Kluyveromyces lactis: one gene and its partners. Each later gene encodes a partner of the first gene's protein in a complex. Links are inferred from orthologs where the notes say so. Each region holds a gene or a part of one and is shown in the gene's direction. Other genes may lie near its edges.

Evidence for each region.
Region 2: RRP6 (region 1) and RRP42 share a complex: the UniProt entries of both Saccharomyces cerevisiae proteins name them as parts of the RNA exosome complex. The link is inferred for Kluyveromyces lactis from reciprocal best matches to the Saccharomyces cerevisiae genes RRP6 and RRP42.
Region 3: RRP6 (region 1) and SKI6 share a complex: the UniProt entries of both Saccharomyces cerevisiae proteins name them as parts of the RNA exosome complex. The link is inferred for Kluyveromyces lactis from reciprocal best matches to the Saccharomyces cerevisiae genes RRP6 and SKI6.
Region 4: RRP6 (region 1) and RRP45 share a complex: the UniProt entries of both Saccharomyces cerevisiae proteins name them as parts of the RNA exosome complex. The link is inferred for Kluyveromyces lactis from reciprocal best matches to the Saccharomyces cerevisiae genes RRP6 and RRP45.
Region 5: the proteins of RRP6 (region 1) and LRP1 are in contact, whole or in part, in a crystal structure (PDB 4WFC), measured with the Saccharomyces cerevisiae proteins. The link is inferred for Kluyveromyces lactis from reciprocal best matches to the Saccharomyces cerevisiae genes RRP6 and LRP1. Residues at the interface, in NP_014643.1 of Saccharomyces cerevisiae: Asp7, Val8, Leu9, Leu10, Arg12, Val13, Ile14, Asn15, Val16, Val17, Ala19, Ala20, Ser21, Ser22, Leu23, Ala24, Gln26, Tyr31, Lys32, Phe38, Asp41, Leu42, Lys43, Lys45, Ala46, Lys48, Leu49, Ala50, Met52, Ala53; in NP_011949.1 of Saccharomyces cerevisiae: Asp3, Ile4, Lys6, Ile7, Tyr10, Val11, Ser13, Phe14, Ser15, Ala17, Leu18, Glu20, Leu21, Lys22, Glu24, Ile25, Glu26, Leu28, Thr29, Lys31, Ser32, Leu33, Asp34, Leu37, Glu43, Arg44, Lys46, Leu47, Ile50, Asn51.
Region 6: RRP6 (region 1) and RRP46 share a complex: the UniProt entries of both Saccharomyces cerevisiae proteins name them as parts of the RNA exosome complex. The link is inferred for Kluyveromyces lactis from reciprocal best matches to the Saccharomyces cerevisiae genes RRP6 and RRP46.
Region 7: RRP6 (region 1) and RRP4 share a complex: the UniProt entries of both Saccharomyces cerevisiae proteins name them as parts of the RNA exosome complex. The link is inferred for Kluyveromyces lactis from reciprocal best matches to the Saccharomyces cerevisiae genes RRP6 and RRP4.

The regions. Positions count from the first base shown.
Region 1 is NC_006040.1:113,330-117,447, forward strand, and holds RRP6 (exosome nuclease subunit RRP6), read left to right. Parts: upstream 1-1,383; coding exon 1,384-3,618; downstream 3,619-4,118. Other genes in the region: PHO80 (Pho80p), read left to right, coding at 1-574. UniProt on the Saccharomyces cerevisiae protein: Nuclear-specific catalytic component of the RNA exosome complex which has 3'->5' exoribonuclease activity and participates in a multitude of cellular RNA processing and degradation events.
Region 2 is NC_006041.1:823,844-826,516, reverse strand, and holds RRP42 (exosome non-catalytic core subunit RRP42), read left to right. Parts: upstream 1-1,378; coding exon 1,379-2,173; downstream 2,174-2,673. Other genes in the region: RRT6 (Rrt6p), read left to right, coding at 211-984; TRM3 (tRNA (guanosine(18)-2'-O)-methyltransferase), read right to left, coding at 2,229-2,673. UniProt on the Saccharomyces cerevisiae protein: Non-catalytic component of the RNA exosome complex which has 3'->5' exoribonuclease activity and participates in a multitude of cellular RNA processing and degradation events.
Region 3 is NC_006040.1:813,273-815,861, reverse strand, and holds SKI6 (exosome non-catalytic core subunit SKI6), read left to right. Parts: upstream 1-1,351; coding exon 1,352-2,089; downstream 2,090-2,589. Other genes in the region: GPI14 (glycosylphosphatidylinositol-alpha 1,4 mannosyltransferase I), read left to right, coding at 1-1,033; FYV8 (Fyv8p), read right to left, coding at 2,166-2,589. UniProt on the Saccharomyces cerevisiae protein: Non-catalytic component of the RNA exosome complex which has 3'->5' exoribonuclease activity and participates in a multitude of cellular RNA processing and degradation events.
Region 4 is NC_006039.1:952,913-955,474, forward strand, and holds RRP45 (exosome non-catalytic core subunit RRP45), read left to right. Parts: upstream 1-1,144; coding exon 1,145-2,062; downstream 2,063-2,562. Other genes in the region: RNH202 (Rnh202p), read left to right, coding at 1-803; KLLA0_C11121g (uncharacterized protein), read right to left, coding at 2,287-2,562. UniProt on the Saccharomyces cerevisiae protein: Non-catalytic component of the RNA exosome complex which has 3'->5' exoribonuclease activity and participates in a multitude of cellular RNA processing and degradation events.
Region 5 is NC_006041.1:1,510,215-1,512,636, forward strand, and holds LRP1 (Lrp1p), read left to right. Parts: upstream 1-1,388; coding exon 1,389-1,922; downstream 1,923-2,422. Other genes in the region: KLLA0_E16985g (uncharacterized protein), read right to left, coding at 421-939; DNA protein crosslink repair co-factor UBX5, read left to right, coding at 2,181-2,422. UniProt on the Saccharomyces cerevisiae protein: Required for exosome-dependent processing of pre-rRNA and small nucleolar RNA (snRNA) precursors. Involved in processing of 35S pre-rRNA at the A0, A1 and A2 sites. Required for activity of RRP6 in 7S pre-rRNA processing.
Region 6 is NC_006040.1:1,266,252-1,268,649, reverse strand, and holds RRP46 (exosome non-catalytic core subunit RRP46), read left to right. Parts: upstream 1-1,220; coding exon 1,221-1,898; downstream 1,899-2,398. Other genes in the region: thiamine transporter TPC1, read right to left, coding at 1-847; VAS1 (valine--tRNA ligase), read right to left, coding at 2,052-2,398. UniProt on the Saccharomyces cerevisiae protein: Non-catalytic component of the RNA exosome complex which has 3'->5' exoribonuclease activity and participates in a multitude of cellular RNA processing and degradation events.
Region 7 is NC_006041.1:1,129,885-1,133,031, reverse strand, and holds RRP4 (exosome non-catalytic core subunit RRP4), read left to right. Parts: upstream 1-1,333; coding exon 1,334-2,647; downstream 2,648-3,147. Other genes in the region: TRM5 (tRNA (guanine) methyltransferase), read right to left, coding at 1-1,305; OMS1 (putative RNA methyltransferase), read right to left, coding at 2,745-3,147. UniProt on the Saccharomyces cerevisiae protein: Non-catalytic component of the RNA exosome complex which has 3'->5' exoribonuclease activity and participates in a multitude of cellular RNA processing and degradation events.

The DNA.
Region 1 (4,118 bases):
GAATGAGTTTTTGGAACGAGTCAGATACAGAATTATCCCAAGAGATGATAATATCGAAAATTGTAAGATTGAACAAAAATTGGGCTCCAATATGCTGATACCCATGAAAAACGCTTCACAGAGAGGTCCCGACAATGGTTTCAATGTTTTACAGAATTATTACAGGAAGATTGTTCAACTCGTTGGAAATCCATTGAACTCACCGGATAAAACTTCCACATACTTCTTCAAAATGGTCGATCCAATGAATCCTGGCATTGGTGGCACCTTGGTACCGCCTAGTACAACAATCAAGAACAATCTTAAAGATAAAGGAAATGGTAGATTAAACACAAACATTATATCCACTACGGGCAGGATCGTTTCACCATCTATAACCGAGGGCGATAGCTTTAATCTGAGTGAACACCGGAAAACTCGTTCCCGAGAAACTTCTGTTAATGAGAATAGTGATTCTCCTCCGATCACCATTCCACAAAAGAGAAATATGAAGGAGGATGATCCGACCAATATGGATAGAAAGAGCACTTTGCTACGCAACGGCAAAAAGCTTTCAAGTCATTTCAATAGTTGACCTTCCTTTAATTTATTTCATTGCCAGGATGGAATCAACTTCGGATTCAATTTATCTTTCGCTGAATTTGTGAAGATGGTTGGCAAAATGTGTTATGAGTCTTTTACGATACTGAAATGGTTTCCCATTTTTGTTGATGTTCTTTTCATCGCAGCAATACTCATCAATATTCACTTCATAATGTCTAGACGGAAATTAGACATTAATTGACCCACTTTTAAGTTATTGAATCACTACCCAAGATTACAATGAAAAAGCATGTAGTATTAAAGTATAGTTTCACTACTTAAATGTTTCAGGATTTTGCATTACTTTCCTTCAATTGTGCCATCTTTACTCTTACAGGTTAGCCGCCCTATATAGCTATACTTAATTGGTTGCCATAAAATGGAGCAGCTGATGCTGTCTGCTTCTAGCGTCATTTTATAATATTGAGATGAGAGATGCTGCAACATTAGTTGAAAAAAAATCCGTACATCGTAGAGGAAGCAGAAGTTATGCAAGATTATATAGTTAGTTCTCTAGTAGCCAATTAACTTATAACGTAGCCGTTGAAAGGCAATGGCGGCGGTGGTGATACGTGGTCTGACTCTCTCTGTAATACTACCGACTCTTTGAATGAATCATTTTCATCAGTAGCAGAGAACATCTAAATTTTACCCGGATTTGAATTCTTCTGATTTCTTTTGATTAGTGAATATTTCTTCATCTCATCTCATCTGGTAGTCAAAGACAGTAATATATTGGAGGGCAGTACGATTCGCCCCGTTTTGAATCCCCCGTAGACTACCAGCTGACTCTAATCCACCATGTCTTCAGAGGATAAGGATACGTTACTTTCCAGTTTGGTTCAAACTGTGAGATCATCGAGTGCATTGGCTGCACAGGATATCGATTTCTACAAAAGTTTAGATTCCAACATTAATGCATCATTAGAAGACACTTCTACGAACATTTTATCGTTAATCAACGACTTGCTTTTGTCTATTGATCCCAATAATGATGTAATTCAGCAAGGGAAAGACAGTTTTGTGGATTCTTGGAAATCCATAAGTAATATTATGGATAATTTATTTGAAAAGTCTGATCATGCACTTGACAACATTAGAGCCGGAAATGGTGGAAACGCTGGAGGTCCATCACTTAAGTATCTAAATGATGATGATCGTTCGAACAATAAACCATCCAAGAGGATTGAAAAACCTCAACTAAGTTTTAAAACTCCTGTAGATAACACAGAACTTCATCCTTTCAAGCCATTATTGGAATACAAACCCCATAGTTTACAACCGTTCGAAATTTCATTGAAGATGGTCCCAGAAGAGGAATCCATCCCGTCCCATTACCCACATCCATACGAATATGAGATCGACCACCAAAAATACAATGACTCCATTCTTGTTGCAACAGAACCGATCCCATCAAAGGACTGGGATGAAACTGAAGCAATTTGGGTTGACACCGTTGAAGGCCTTAACAAAATGAAAGATGAATTAAGTAAAGCCACAGAATTAGCAATCGATTTAGAACATCATGATTATAGGTCTTACTATGGTATAGTTTGTTTGATGCAAATTAGTGACCGGGAGCATGATTGGATTGTAGATACTATTGCATTGAGAGAGGAACTTTACATATTGAATGATATCTTTACCGACCCTAATGTTACTAAAGTTCTGCACGGTGCATTCATGGATATCATATGGCTTCAACGTGATTTAGGCTTATATATTGTTGGCCTTTTTGATACTTATCATGCCTCCAGGATGTTAGGTTTTCCAAAACACAGTCTGGCCTATCTTCTCGAAAGATTTGCTAATTTCAAGACTTCAAAAAAATATCAACTGGCAGACTGGAGAATCAGACCGTTGACCAAGCCTATGCTTGCATATGCAAGAGCTGATACGCATTTTCTCCTAAATATTTTCGATAAATTAAGGAACTCTCTACTGGAACAGAATAAGATGTCCGATGTTTTGCATGAATCGAGAAAAGTGGCTAAAAGAAGATTTGAATATAGTAGTTTCAGACCAAAGGTTCCGTCTTCAGCAGTGTTTTCACCTATTGAAAAGGATGAACCTTGGAAGAATATTATGTTTCAGTACAATATTCCGGCTTCAAAGGAATTACTTCTCCGTAGACTTTATGAATGGAGAGATACAATCGCCAGGAGGGATGATGAATCTCCTCGTTACGTGATGCCAAACCAACTACTTGTATCGTTGGTGGCTGGTGCACCAACCGAACCCATTAACGTATTGTCTGTCAGCTCATACGTTTCAGAGCATTTAAGAACAAATTCGAAGGTCATTGCAAACTTGATCAAAAGAACTTTAGAGGATCTCAAAGGAAATTCCAACTCTTCTGCGATCCCACTTTTGGAATCGGCCGAAAGTAACGGCACCGATCTGGCCAATATAATAACAACGTCCCAAATTAAATCCATTCAGAATATATTTCATTCACTTGCTTCGGAAATAAACTCTCAAAAGCTGAATAACGAACAAAATTCAGAGAAATCTGTCCTATTCAATGGTATTTCAAACTTGGATGTGAATACTGCCGTCAGATATACACCAAAGACGAGAACGCTCATTCCACAACATGAATTATTAAAGCGTCAGCATGAAATAACAAGGACGTTAGAACAAGAATACACTGACCGACAAGCTCAGAGTATTGTGCTACCGTCAAATGAGGATGAAGCTCCTACGCAAGTATCTAACGATGAAAACAGAAATGAAGTCATCACGTCTGATCCTTCTCAGGAAGAGATTGAAGAGAACAAGGATGAAGTAATTACGTTGCGCAAAAGACAATCTCAATCTAACAACAAACGAAAGACTATCAGTCCACCTGCAAGTCATGAGATTATGGATTATGCTGCTGGCTCCGACCTATTGAACTCAACAAAGAATAATACAAACTCACAGAAGCATAAAAAAAGAAGATTCGATCCTTACTCTGTTGAACATGTCGGTCCACAGCCTATCAAGAAAAAATCAAAACCTGCCAAGGGTAAGAACGTCTCATTCAAAAGATAGAGCATCTTGAGCAGCTCTAATGGTATAAATATCGAACTAGTCATATTTACAGGTTAATTTCGCTCACTAATTCGTTTGCGTAATAGTTTTTTTCCTTAGAAATAGCTACTTCTGCCTAGGCATTGAGACACAGATTGGATAACTTGAGCTTTTCTGAGACTGCCCATAAGATCCTCCAGTTGCAAGGAGTCTTTTCACAGTAGTCAGTCTATCCTAATTTCTTCATCTATAGTCATGTGCAGTGCATCAGATTAGCCAACAGTTCTCGAAAATGTTGGAACTGACAAAAAGGAATGTTGATATTCAAATTTTGTTTACTACGCGGAATTATAAGAGTGTATAAATAAGGGTATCTCATGGCATTTAAAAGAGATTTAGCCCTAAGTAGTATATATAATGAGATTGAATTTTTAATGCATACTGCAATGAACTGCTTTGATCAAACATAAAGAGCAGAAAAATTAAACGGGTACGACTCCAAGAGCTTATCTATCCTATTA
Region 2 (2,673 bases), on another chromosome or scaffold:
AAACAATTCTTTTTTTCCCTTTAAGGTTGTTTCTCAGTGCTTCATACGTGTTGTCAATATCTTTTTGTGTTCTTATTCGGCCAGACAAAATTTTTTTTTTGGGTCTAATCCACAGCTTTCGCTTCAGTAATTAGATTGTGGTCTTTTCGTTTGTTATTATACCCAGTTCATTTCGTTCCAGCTAGTAATTTTTTTGTTCTTTTTGTTTAAATGGTGATATCGTTGATATATGTCCTTTTACTGATATGTTCAGTTGTCTCGGAGACCCTTAAACTGCCGATAAACCCAAATCGATTAGAATTCGATTTGTGGCCATATAAAAAATGGGAAGTTGACGGCTCGAGTGACGCGTCTAGTTATCAAACTTGTTTCGAAATGAATACGAATATTAAGGCCAAGGATTTACAATTCCTCATTGAAATTGAAGAATTTACTAAATGGAAAGTTAATGTGGATAGGTTTGGTCCAACTACGAGTTCAAAGGGAAAACAGGTTGTCAACATGGATATTTATGACGAAGACCAAAATTTGGTACAGTCAAGACATGGTTTAGAGAATGGGGAAACTGTGCTTTACGTGAGCGTATACGAACATCAGAATTTCCAAATATGCCTTATCAACTTTTCATTAGACTCCTCATGGAATGCCATAGATAGTGTGAAGCAAGTAGCAATTAGCATCACGTCTAATGATCTGATTCAGAAACAGAAGTGGGATTTGATTACTGATGATGATCTCAATTTGTTATCCCAGGGTAGAGATGACCTGTTTTCGTTGGTCAGTGCGGATTCTGGCCAGGAATTGCATGCTTTAGATGTCGATCATAGAAATCTCAACGAATCAACGTTCTCTTATCTACTGGCAAAAGTCACAATATTATTCTGCATCATTGGAGTATGTCATTTGCTGGTATTTCCAATCTTACTGTATAGAATCGTTAGCAAAGGGCAACCGACCAAGAACAAAAATAAAATCAAAAGATAAGGAATAATTATGTCCATAAAACAGTTGATGTATTTGTATATATATTAAACATCAGCACCCTGTATCAGTACAACTTCAATATCAGTCAGTCAGCATTCATCGTATGTTAGTACTTCGAACCGTGACTGACACCTGACAGAACATCTCACTAATGGCCAATTATATCCGGGTAACACCGAATATTAATGTGCATTAGCGAAAAGAAGAAATGAAAAATCTGAACTAATTTCAGTATTGACTTATATGAGCTTGAGATGAGATGCAATGAGATGATGAGAAAAGGCTTATTTCCCTTCTATCAACAGCAATAGAAACATCTGAGTTTAAAGCGAGTTATCTTCTCACGAAGCAGACCCATCTCGTTAAAAAAAAAATCAAATAATATAAGAAGATAATGGGACTTTCGTTAACTGAAAAATCGTTCCTATACGATTCTCTAACATTAGATCCCCCATTAAGACCGGATGGAAGAGGTCCACATCAATTTAGACCATTGGAAGTATCTACTGATTTCCTTCCCAATTCTAATGGATCCAGCCGTGTGATATTAAGCGGAGGAAGCGAGTGTATAGTGAGTGTAAAAACTAAAGTCGTGGACCATACGGTAGAACAAGAATTGCTTGTTGCTGATGTCGACATCCAAGGCCACAGAGATGACTCTCCATTGGTTACCAGCATGTCTTCACTATTATCCAAATTGCTCAAACAAACTATTGATCAGAAAAAGCTAATGCTCACGAAAAGGTACAGTTTCAAACTTTACATTGACGTTTTGGTGCTTGCCTCCAAATCATACCCGATCTCAATGATATCTTTCGCCATTTTCAGCGCTTTGAAAAACACATGGCTACCGAAACTAATATCGAACGACGATGACTTAGAAGTGGAGGAGCTACCCACATTCCATGATTACGATATGGTTAAGCTAGAGGCAGATGCTCCTTTATTGTTTACGTTCGCAATTGTAGGAGACGGTGTTTTTGTGGATCCAACTTTTGAAGAGAGCATAGTATCGAACAATGGCCTTCTAATTACGTGGTACAAAGATAAGGTTACTTCTCCGATAAGATCTGTTGGCTTGAATAACGATAATATCAAAGGGTTCAGTCAGCATCATTTAGAACAAGCGTTCAAGTTAATTCGTCAATACGCACCACATATTGAAAAAGCTTTGGATGCTTCAGATTAAGGAACATTTAAATAGTAAATAGGTACTTTTCAGGGTGTTTATTATAAATGCATATCTATAAATGCTGGATCGAGTACGAATGAACGATAACAGCTGTTGCAGTTTGGATATTCATGGATCTTATTACCCCAGATTGTTTGATTTCTAAGCATAAATCCAACTCCTTTAACAAATGCCCTGGAATACCATGAGCTTCTGTTCCTAGTAAAATGACAGATTTTGATGGAAATTTAAATTCAGAATTCAGTTGAATGGAAGAATCAGTCTGCTCCAATCCAATTAACGTATATCCTTCCAACTTCTTTGCATTCATGTAAGATATTATACCATCGACAGGAACTTCTTCAATAGGCATCCAGCGGTCCGCTGTAACCGCAACATTTTTGAATTGAGGATGCTGTTTGACTCTAATATCATGAATTGTCATAGTACCGACACCCAACACGTCACAGAGTCTACAAATACCTCCGAGATTGGGTGCTTTATCCACTAATGAAGCT
Region 3 (2,589 bases), about 700 kb from region 1:
TACATACAGGTACACACCTTTATTGAGCTTCTTGTTACTACCCAATTATTATCTAAAGTGGATTCATATGGGGAAAGTCTTCTTTGTTTTATTTGATCTCATTACAGGTGTGATGATCATAAAACTATTACAAGGTTCATGTCAATTGACAAAACAGCTAATTCTAGCTTCTATTTGGTTATTGAACCCGATTGTTATAACGATAAGTACTCGAGGAAACGCTGAATCGGTTTTATGTTTTTTGATCATATGTGCTTTATACTTTTTGAAAAGAGACAGGTTACTTATTTCAGGACTTTTCTATGGGTTATCGATTCATTTCAAGATCTATCCGATAATCTATGCGCTACCGATCGGAATATATCTCTTGTTGTCGAGTCACAATAGAAACTGCATTTGGCGATTGTTCATGATAGGGATATCGACGCTAATCGGCATAACTGCGCCGACGTATTTCATGTACAAGCTTTACGGGAGCGAATTTATCGAACACTCGTACATGTACCATCTCACGAGAACAGACCACAGACACAATTTTTCGATTTGGAACCTGGTCTTACTCTTAGAATCTGCTGGTATTCATCTTTCCCAATCTATCGAACTATCTAAGCTGGCATTCGTTCCTCAATTGACACTATGTGCAGTACTACCTTATCTATTGTGGAAATCACAGACGTTCGAAAATTTAATGAATGTCCTATTCGTACAAACATACGCATTCGTTACTTTCAATAAAGTATGCACTTCTCAATATTTCATTTGGTATTTGGTATTATCCCCATTTTATTTCGCAAATACAACCATTACATGGAGAAAAGGTGTGGTCTGTATATTTTTATGGATATTGTCTCAAGCCGTATGGCTTTCACAAGCATATCTACTTGAATTCAAAGGCCAAAATGTATTTTTCCCCAACTTATTCTTTGGCAATATAGTGTTTTTCCTCATCAACGTCTATCTACTCGGTGTCTTTATCACTGACATCAAATCCAGAACGTCATTCCAAGACAATCAACATAAGAAGAATATATAATTTTAACTTAGCATATACTGTAGCGTACTGTGACATTTTCAAAGCCACGATCGAAGTCCTGACGAGTATTTTGATGTTCCATTCCGTTCATCCAATTTCATATCCGTTGTCAGATTCACTCGCTGCTGTTTTCTTCATACTGATTATTGAAATAGAATTTGAAAAAAAAAAAGTATTCAAGTTTTGAATCTTACAAGTGAAATATGAGCTCATCGACATCTACTAGAAGAAGTACATTCAAAGCAGAGGCTGTCAGATTGAAATTAGCCCCTCCAGCTAGCGTGTAGGAAAACCCACTTTAACTAACAGAGTAACATAATGTCACGTTTTGAAATATATTCTCCAGAGGGATTGCGTGTCGATGGTCGTCGTTGGAATGAGCTAAGAAGTTTCAACTGTTCCATCAACACTCACCCGAATGCTGCAGATGGATCCTCGTACTTGGAACAAGGTAACAATAAGATTATCACATTAGTTGCTGGTCCTCAAGAACCATCCTCGAGGTCACAAGTCAATACGAAACAAGCTACTTTATCCGTTACTATTAACTTAACGAAGTTTGCCAAGATGGAAAGAAGCAAATCAAGCCATAAGAATGAAAGAAGAACCTTAGAATGGCAAGCTTCGTTAGTGCGTACATTTGAAAAGAACTTGATGCTTCATCTCTATCCTCGTACGTCAATTGACGTTCAAGTTCATGCTCTACAGTTAGATGGTGGGATTCTTGGGGCAATGCTTAATGGAATAACATTGGCTCTGATAGATGCTGGTATCGCAATGTATGATTTTGTAAGCGGGGTTTCAGTGGGACTTTATGATACTACACCACTACTAGACCTTAACTCGCTTGAGGAAAATGCAATGAGCAGTGTTACCATAGGCACAATTGGTAAATCAGAAAAATTATCTTTATTAATGGTGGAAGATAAAGTGCCTTTGGATAGACTTGAGAGTGTCATGGCCATCGGAATAGCAGGCACTCACAGAATTAGAGATTTAATGGATAAGGAGCTTAGAAAGCATGGAAAAACAAGAGTTGAAAACTCTTCGAATTGATTTTTAAACCATTAATTATAAACTTCACATAACATGTAAACATAAATGCATTCTACAATTCGGATCTTGCCTTTAACTACAATTTTTTACCTATAGATGAGAATAACCCCTTAGATTTTTCTCTCATGCTGCTAGAAAACATCTTCTTCTTCAAATGTGTAACATTTTGGTTCACCGTATTTGCGACGCTGTTCTTTTTACTCAAAATATCCGCTTGAGCATAAGCATCTTGAACATGTTTATTGACTTTGTAGTCTTTGAAGATAAAATCCTTATCAGATGTGGTAGAAGACTTCAAAGCATATTGGATCCAGCTCTGGAGTCCGGAGTCATATTCTTTTAATTGTTCCTTGTAATTGTTTAATTTTTTTAGTTTTTGGGAGTGAAGCTCATTACTGCTTAAAAGCTTGACCAAGTCTAGATTCGGGACAGTTGACTGGTGAACCACTGATGGAATTTCATCTCCTTCAGAACTGAATGCTTCTTTTAATTTTGATTCA
Region 4 (2,562 bases), on another chromosome or scaffold:
TGAATGATAAATATCATTATACTTCAGATTCGCAAACATTTAAATCCACATTTTTGATCAATGAAGAGAACAGGAAAGATGGACACATACTAGAAGATGGTTCGATACTATATGCCGAAAAATATGACTTAACTTTTAATATATGTGGGTATTATTATAGGAACAACAAAGTTACTAGTGAGGATCTAGCGTTTATTACACCTTGCGTTCCACCCGCACTCGATATGGATACTAACTTTTATACTAGTTCTGATTACCAAGAGAAATTAACGAATAATCACAGTGAAAATTGGGAGAAGATACCTCCAAAATTATGGGAAAGTTGTCTCGGGAAAATATCACATACAGTGGAAGAAGCTGGTGACAAGTATTATCGTATCGAACCTCAAATGATAGTAGAATGGCTACTGAAGAAAGTCATCAAAATCAACAACAACTTCCCTACTTCTCTTAAAATACCAAAATCGCTACCTGAAGATATAGCATCATCTCTGAAATGCATAATGTCGTGTAATCTTCTAGTTTCCTTGATCCCACAACTCGCATACCAGGATCTAATTAGACATGAATCTTCAAATCTTAACATCAAACAATGTTTCGACTCATACGACAAGTACAAGAACGAAACATTACAAACAGAAAGGGAAAGAGAGCTCCTTATCAAAGCTGCTATGTCTACAGCCATTCCAAATGGCACAAAAACCGTAAAGAAACAACCTATTCAAAAGGCTAAAGTTGTGAAACCAAAGGTTGCTAAGGGTAAAGGAAGAATTGACGGATTCTTCAAAACTAACAAAACATAAGTAAGGGCATATAATAATTTCGTAGAAATATCAGTATTGGATAACCTCTATCATTTTGACCTAAAGCTTCACATAACATGCCGTTGTTGAGCTCTAAAATAATTGATCTTCTTCCACTTAATACCTGTCTACAGGGTCTTCCTCCTAGAGAAACTCGCATCAATTTTGTTTTTATTCCTTTTTCATCTTTCTATCATATCAAATGAGACAAAGCTTATGAAAGATTTAGAACTATAACACTTGAAAAGTTAAAGAGTTGCGATGAGCAGCACTGAAAGAGAAAACCATAGCCGAAGAGAGCTTGCATTCGCATATCAAAATAGTTAAATCGATAAGAGGTGATGGCAAAAGATATAGAGATCAGTAATGCTGAATCCAAATTTATCCTGGAAGCGTTAAAGCTTAAACAAAGATTAGATGGACGTTCATATGACCAATTCAGAGATGTGAAGATCGAAATAGGTGAAGCATACGGTGATGTGACTGTTACCATGGGTAACACAAAGGTACACTGTCGTATCAGCTGTGAAATTGCACAACCTTATGAAGATAGACCGTTTGAAGGACTTTTCCATATAAGTACCGAAACTACACCGATGGCAGGTGCTCAGTTTGAGAATGGGAACAATACTGGAGAAGAAGAGGTATTGATCAGTAGGATGATTGAGAAAGCTGTAAGACGATCAGGAGCATTAGATGTAGAAGGTTTATGCATAATAGCTGGCTCCAAATGTTGGTCTCTTAGAGCTGATGTTCACTTTTTAGATTGTGATGGTGGACTAATCGATGCCAGTTGCATTGCTGTAATGGCTGGGTTACTTCATTTTAAGAAGCCCGACGTTACTGTTCTTGGTGAAAGAGTGACGGTACATCCGATTGATGAAAGAGAACCTGTGTCACTAGGTGTTTTGCATGTTCCAATTTGTGTGACGTTTTCATTCTTCAATCCAGACGATACAGAAGAAAATATCAAAGGTGAGGACAATGCAGAAATATCAATCATCGATGCTTCCTTAAAAGAGGAGCTATTGAGAGATGGTGTGCTTACTGTGACGCTTAATAAAAACAGAGAAGTTGTTCAAATCTCCAAAGCAGGTGGTTTGCCGATGGAAGCTTTGTCGTTGATTGATTGTTGTCATAAAGCATACGGAATTGTAGAAAAAATCACTGATCAAATTCATCGTGTTGTGAAACAAGATACCATTGCAAGAAACCAATACGCACACATTTTGAGCTCTGAAAATGCTCGTGAAACTTAAGGAGCATTGTATCGAAGAACTGGAAGCTTTTCTTCAATTATAGATTAATGCTTATGGTTGTACCATATCCCAAGACACTTGGCAGCTAGAAGTCGTTTAATCCATGCCGTTCAGCGCGTTTGATATTGTTCTGTACTATATGTTGTATGTATGAATATACAAATAATGTATCTGTTTGGTGGATATATGAGAGTGTATGCTGTGAATATCTTAGCGATAGTGAATCAAATATAAAGTCTGGTCATGTCTCTTTCTGTTGAGGAAGTCACTGATTCTTCCCGAGCGTTAAACTTTACAATATGTATTAAATTTGGATATCTGTTCAAGTCGTTCTTTTCAAATTCGAATCCGTTTCGTGAATTAAGTTCGGGATACAAATCTCGTTCATCCAACATCATCATGTGTTTGTCAATAGAAATTTGTGTCTCTGGTGCAGAATTCAAGTACCGCTCTTCTGCCGCCAAAATGTTCTTCGAATTAGCCCAGTATGTTACTGTACA
Region 5 (2,422 bases), on another chromosome or scaffold:
TAACTTAGAGCAATGTAATTCTTCTATTGATTTTCCACTACAGCCGTTGTCAGATTGCGTGTAGAGCTTTCCTAGTGTCGTTGTTTGTCTTGATACTTTATTGATGTTGATGTTTACTTGCTAGTTAGTTATTTTAATGTTTTTCGAATTTTGTTTCCCCCTCAAAGAGCGACAAATTCGACAGATTTAAGAGAAAACATATACCAAAGAGATAGAATTGCGTTGGGTATTGAACCTCTATGGTTCTGCAACTGGTGCCAACAGATATTTTATAGTGTATCATTACAGCTTTATCTTTTACTATACATATTATATGTGTATATGTGTATAATTGGTCAAAAACGTTCGCATGACTCAAATAAAAGATGGATCATATATGTGATGTGTCGAATCTCAAACGAAAACGAAGATTACATCCACCTATTGGCGTTGCATCTCAGTGAGACGTTTAAGATTGGCCAAGTTCTCCAGGATCTGGCCATCTGAGATCATAATTGGGGTTTGCGTATCGTTGCGGAAGTAATCTTCTGCACTTGTATGTGCTAAAGGTGGACAGAGTCTGAATGAACCAGACCGATCCATTTGATGTTGGAAGGGGGAATTTTCCGAATAGAACGCAGTTCTATCGAGTTTGACTTTGAGATGGTTCTGCTGTTCGTCGTTCCCGTTCTTTTGGTATAGGTTCTGTAGAAGCGGTTGCGGTGGCTGTATTCCAGCCTGAAGCGATGATGACTCGTGGTTCAATAGGAAGGATACGTTCATCTGTTTAGAGTTCCGCTGCAAAAGCTGATCCATTTCTGTGACGACTTTCTGCAAATTTGATGCCAAGGTTGACCATGATTCTGCATCGCTTGGCGAGAGCGAGTGTGCTTGCTCACGATATTTCTCACGAACCTGTCGTAGCTGTGTCTCTATATTCGATAAGTCATCAGCGACCATTATCTATGCTGACGAGAAACAAACTAAAGTACTTCTTGAGCTAGGCCAGTGTTGAAATTAAGTATACTGGCGGAGGGTGGATGTTACTTCAACAGTCCAAATAGGACTACTCGCCCTGTATTGAGTACAGGTTCTCCATATATGTGGTATGAATGTGTGTAATGTCTTGCGTTTTTTTTTTTTTTTTTGGCAGGCAAATATGGAATTTTCGCTGGATAAAGAAATAGAAATATTACTGAAGTACTTCTACGTGCGAAACGCACGCAGATTATTATGCGTTTTGTTCCATTGCGAAAAATTCGCAGTATTATGTTATTGATCGAAAATTTTGATTCAGTGAAGAATACTTCATCTCGGTATTATACAGCTTCATCTCATCTCATCTCATCTCATCTCATCGCTGCCTCAGTCGACAACGACAAGAACACGGACCACATACAACTACCAGCATGGAAGATACTAAGAAAATTAAACCATACATCTCGTATCTCAATAAACAGGTGGAACAACTCAGTGGTGAGATTAACAAACTAACGAGCAAGTCATTGGACGAACAACTGTTGCTTCTGCAAGATGAAAAGAAGAAACTTGATCTTTCAAACAAATACGCATATGTATTGAGTTCACTATGCTTTTCATACATGAAAGTCCTCAATATCAAAGACCTGTCACCTATCATGGCCGAATTGGCAAGGTGTAAGTCATATATGGATAAATCTAAACAGTTAGAAGCTAAGAAAGAATCTGAAGAGAAGGATGAGGTGGAGCAAGAAGAACAAGCAAAAAGAGTTCTACAATCTGCGTTGGGAGGTGGCAAAATGGAACCTGCTATCAGTAAAGTCAACTTTCAGGGGAAACATACTAAGTTTTCGACAGAGGCTTCCACCACCAGCACTGATAAGGATGGACTGGCAAATCGAGTAGTAGACGGAACAAAGAAATCAAAACAGCAAAAACAATCTGGTAAAGTATCGAAGAAATAATTCATCTGAAATATGTCCTGGCATGTTCATCCATGTATTCCTGGGTCTTATTCTGGCATTCTATATTAATAATTAGCATCGCATTTTTCACTGACATAACAAGTTGTATAGTATAAATACACTAAAATTGGGAAACAAAAAGAAGGAAATTCCAGTTGGCAAACGTGAACAAGAATTAACCAAAGATACAGGTTTCAAGTGGCAACAGAGAGTTACAGAGACCAGTAAAAGGATTAAAAGAAGTACATTTCAATAGCCATGATATCTGACGAGGATATTTCAACTTTCCAAGGTGTTTGCGGTACAGATAACGATGAATTGTCAAGACATTTCCTTGAGATGGCCGGAGGCAATTTGGAAACAGCCATCTCGTTATTCTTTGAACATGGTGGTGAGAGACAGTTGAACAGCAATTCTGGTAATAATAATGCCGGTGCTGGTGCTGGTGCTAATACAGGGGGTTCTGGCGGTCTGAGTGGCGACGTAGAGTTTGCTGAAGA
Region 6 (2,398 bases), about 1.2 Mb from region 1:
TAAGTCCTCGGTACAACGCTGATACACCCTCCTGTCTTAGTATCTTGTAAATAATTGCAGTGGATGATTTATACCTGTACTCGTGGTAAACAGCAGGGAATTTGGTGAAATGAACTGTTCTCTTAGAGTTCATCACTTGCATTCTGCGACGTAAAGTGTCAATGGGGAACACCATCGTCTTGGATACAAACCCTGCGATGATCCCTGAACTAGCACTTACAGGTCGCGACCAGAATTCTTTCTCGTGGTTTTCACAGACTATATTCACGGTCTCATATGTGAGAAACATGATAGCCGTGGATAAAGTAACCGTTGTCATCGCAGTGGATATTCCAGTGAAAAAACCTCGTACACCTTCATTGAGCCACATTTGTCGGCACTCCTCTGCGACACTGGTCCGATGGCTCGTTCTGTTTGCTATAAGTCTTGTCCGAAGCAAATCTAGCGGGTAAGATACCACTGAACTAGTCATTCCTGCCAACGCTCCGACCGTTAGCGTTTGTCCCTGCTGTGAAAACCGAGGGAACTTCGCAGACCAAACGTTGTTGAACCACGAGTAAGATCCGAATTGTACTGCACCGTAAACAACGTACATCGCCGTCGCCGGGATGTTTCCTTTCCATAACGCTCGAAGTCCTTCTTCTTTCATTATAGTTCTCACAGTAGATGCAATTCCCTTATATTTGTCCTCTTGTACCGGTTGTAACTGATATCGTATTTTTACAGTATCCATTGGTGCAGTTGCCATCCTAGCAAATACCCCAGAAACAGAACCAGCAATCACTGAATTGTACCATGATACCGTTTCACCTTTCCTGAGATGGTCTTTCCTTATGCCAGTGTTCATTCTCTCTTCGTCATTAAATAAATCCCTCTCTCTTGATGGATTGAAGATTCACTGAATGCTGGTCTCTCGCTCCCTTCTCAGAACTTAAATGAAGCCAGACCTACACACAATCTCCTTATTTATAAATTACCACATACATGCCCTGCTAAAAGGGTCTCTGGCACATCAATTGCATTGCATCTCCAACCTCTTAGTTTCATATCTATTCATTGCGTATCCTAAAAGTGAAAAATTTCTGAATTTGAAGCTCATCTCATCTCATCCTGACATAACATTCAAAAGATGGGGAAAGAGGGACTGTAGTGGCTCATTACCGTCTATACCGACTGCGTATTGATTGTTATATTGTACCTATAGTAATTTTCTAGCCAAGATGGAGACTACGACGCATGTTTTGGGCCATGTTGATGGCTCTTCTGTTGTTTCAAACAGCGGAACTAAAGTTATCTGTTCTGTTTCGGGACCCATGGAACCTAAGTCTAGGCAAGAGTTGCCCACACAACTTGCATTAGAGATCATCGTGAAGCCTGCTGAAGGCGTACAGAGTACGAGGGAAAAGTTAATGGAAGATCAGATCCGTTCTGTGTTGACCCCAGTGCTTGCGAGATACTTGCATCCACGTCAATTTGTGCAGATATGTCTCCAAGTATTAGAAGCGGGAGAAAGCAGGGATTATACTGTGAAAGAAGTCAGTGTATGTGTTAACGCAGCGGTGCTCGCATTGGTGGATGCTGGTGTACCGTTACTCAGTATGTGTTCTGGTACTTGTATTGGTATTACCACTGAAGGGAAGCAGCTGGTGGTGAACCCAACAGAATCGCAGCTAGCTAAATGTGAATCGGTCCACGTATACTGTCTAGAGCTGGGCACGAATGAGAACGGGGATATAGATGTCAGGAACCTGCTTCTTCTTGATAGTTTAGGCAGCTTTGACGAGTCACAGTTGTTTAAAGTGTTAGAAACAGGTGAGAAAGAGTGTATACGGTTATACACAGAGTTGAGATCAGTGATCAAGGATAAAGTCGCCAAAGATTTCGTCTGGAGACAGTAGTGGGTATACCTGCACCCATGGTTCTTTATAAATTAACTTTATAATTAACGTTATCATCTTTATATACAATTTATATATATTTGCATTTATATAATTCGCATTAGCAGCGGCAGAGAGAGTAATCTAATCTATTGGACAAATAACAAAACAATTCTACAACTTCAATGCTTCCAAGTTAGCGATGGTAGCTTCCAAGGTTTCGATTTCAGCGGCAGCGTGCTCTGATCTTTCTTTGTTGAATTGCTTCACTTGGTCATTGGCCTTTTGTTCATAATCGCTGCTGTTGACAATCTTATCAATGGCAGATTTAGACTTCAAAGTCTTGTCTAGCTTCTTTTGGACCTTGGAGATTTCTGCATCGATATCGACGTGACCCTTCACAAGCACATGCACGTTAACTTCTGGGTTGACAGATTGTAGCACACAACCTTGTGGGATATCAGCAGCAGATTTCACAACGGAAACTTCATCGATTGCCTTAATCAAAGAGACGATAGAAT
Region 7 (3,147 bases), on another chromosome or scaffold:
ATGGAAACAATGACAATGGATCCATGGGGTTTGGAACTGTTCGCCGTGTTCTTGAACCATCTGTTCGTATGTGAACCCGTACCTTGAATATAATCCGACGAATTCATCAAGGAATTGAAGAGCACTGTCAGGTAAGTTCATCACGTAGTGATCGAAGAACTGGTTTTTGATTGGGATCTTGGTTTCAGGAGTACGTTTAGTTTCTCCCGTGACTTTATCCTTGTACTTCTTACCTCCTGGCACCGTGATGACTCCCTGTACCCTTTCGATGAATTGTTGTAGTAGCTTGGGACTATCTCTGATGAATTCGCGGCCATCGAGGTTCAATGGTTCAACGAAGTTACCCACCTTATTGTCGATGATATTTTGCTGCATGTACTTGTAAGATTCTGGGTTCAAATCGTTACTTAGAACGATGACCTTCTTCTTTCCTGCTGGAACTGAGAATGGCCCCACCCCAGCAAACACATCACCAACTATTTGGCCCGGTTTGAATAGACTCACTAACCTTGCATGTTCTGTATGTAGTCTTGAGTTCCAGTACACTTTACTGAAATCGAAAGTGAATGAACAATCAGATTCCCTTTGAGTCACTAGCAGGTTCGGTTCACCCGCTAGGACGTTCATTTCGAAAGTTCTGAATTTGGTAGCAATGGAATCCACTTTATCGACCACGGTCTTGATCGTCGAATTCTTGTCCAAGATGACTTGTCCAATTATTTCACCAAACGGTTTGAACTCTTTCCTTAAATTCAAATGAGCTACGTGTCCCACAATAGTGAACCCAGTAGGAATCTCAGCAAGGTACTCCTCTGGTAAAATTGCATTTAGAATCTCTTCCACTTTCCAGAAGTCATAATCTAGCACATACTCATGGTTTCTCAACTCATACTCTTGCTCATCAAGAAATTCTAGTGCATTGGAGGTCAACTTCCCTCTCGCCTGCGAAACATCTTGTATACTGTCTTTTAGTATGATACCTTTGGTTATATGGTTGTCATTGGCCAGGGATTTGCTTTTCTTCTGTACTGGCTCGACATCGTTCTTATCAGTATCTTCTTTTGGTGTTTCGCCAAGTCTTATAACGAATGGAATTCTTGGTGTCCTTAATATATCGTCCTTGAACTTCTTGGTGAAGACAGAAATATTCTTTGGATTCTTCAATAGCAATACAACAACAGGAAGCTTCTTTACGAATAATGATTTATCTAATTGTTTCATGCCACGATGCACTGGTGGTTCATATTTGAACGTAGTTTCAATAGCTCTACTCATTGTTCTTCGAAGCACTAGGCCAAACCTCATAAAACTAGTCCTCCTCTATCCTTGAAAAATGGAGCAAAATAGTGTGCTATCACTTCACCAAATAAAACGCTGCCTGACGGTCGATCTTTGCTGCAACATTTTTACATCTTTTACAACGCTCATCTCATCTCATCTCATCGCTCTCTTATTTAATTTGGAAAATTTTCAGTTAACTAACACCAAAAGTAACAAAGGTACAGCGAGGAAGTCAGCACATCGAACGCCTTCTGCAGTCCCTGACATCGTTATATCATTACTTGGAACAATGAGTGATGTTATTAGTGTTATCAATAGGAACGAATTTTGGTCTAATGGCCGTTTAGAACAGGATGAATATGAATCAGATTCCAGCTCAGGTTCAGAGCAAGAACATGACATTGAGATGAGCGGTGCTCACGATTCCAATGGTGGAATAGACCATCAGGATGGGTCTATTGTCACACCTGGTGAATTAATAACCGATGATCCTATATGGATGAAGGGTCATGGTACTTATTTCTTGGAAAACAAGACATACAGTTCTGTGGTTGGCACAGTATCGAGAGTGAATAGATTGCTATCCGTTTTACCATTAAAATCTCGTTATATTCCCGAAACAGGTGACCACATCGTGGGTAGAATCACTGATGTTGGTAATAGAAGGTGGAAAGTGGATATTGGAGCCAAACAGTATGCGGTTTTGATGTTGGGTTCTGTTAATTTACCAGGTGGTGTATTGAGACGTAAGTCAGAGACAGATGAGTTGCAAATGAGAAACTTCTTGAAAGAAGGTGATCTACTAAACGCTGAAGTCCAATCGTTGTTCCAAGACGGTTCAGCTTCATTACATACCAGATCGTTGAAATATGGGAAACTAAGGAATGGTACGTTTGTTCAAGTCCCAAGTTCCCTAATAGTGAGATCTAAAAATCATACACATAATCTTCCAGGGAATGTCACCATTATCTTGGGTGTAAATGGGTTCGTATGGATAAGGAAATCCTCCAAGATGGATCTTTCCGGTAAGACCACTACTACAGGTTCAGGACAATCTGACCATTTACCAGGATCCAACAATGCAATGTCGGTTTCCATTACAAGATTGGAAGAAGAGAGTTCTTGGGAAATATATTCGGATAAAAATGATACTGTTACTGTAAGCGTTAGGCAAACAATCACAAGATATGCAAACGTAATTAAGGCGTTAGCACATTGCGAACTCGGTATCACTGAGCCAAGAATAATATCCGCATATGAGGCTTCAATGGCTTATGGTAACTTGGGACAGTTAATTGAATCGGAGACGATGGAGTCCTTAGGTCAAGACGTCATCAACTCAGAGAAGATGAGGGGAGCAGCATAGGTTGTAATCGGTAATATTAATATTTACATGAAGTAGTATTTTATAAATAAAGTGCATAATATTTACAAATAATAAAATCTTTTCGATAAGAGTACCATCATTTGGATGTCTCAGATGTTGGTTTATTATGGGTAGCTTGTAGCGAGTCTTGCTTCTTTCCATCGTTTGTGAAAGATTCAATTCTGCTCTTAACACTAGCACCAAGATACTTTTCAAAGAAGCCAATTTCTTCTTTCTTCTTACCGTCACCTTTACGCTTGGCAACAATACACCATGTCGTACCGAAATGTGTTCTTCTTTCTTCGACGACATCCAATCCAGAATCGTCAAGGATTTCTCCGATATCCAAGTTCCATCTACAACCCCATGTCTTTAAACGTTTCTCAGCTCTATCGTCAAGAATTTTGTTGATTGTATCGTATGAACCTCTTCCGTGTTCCAAGAGAATGATTCTACCGCCAGGTTTCAACAATTCAGCAAAATTCTTCAAAGATTTTACA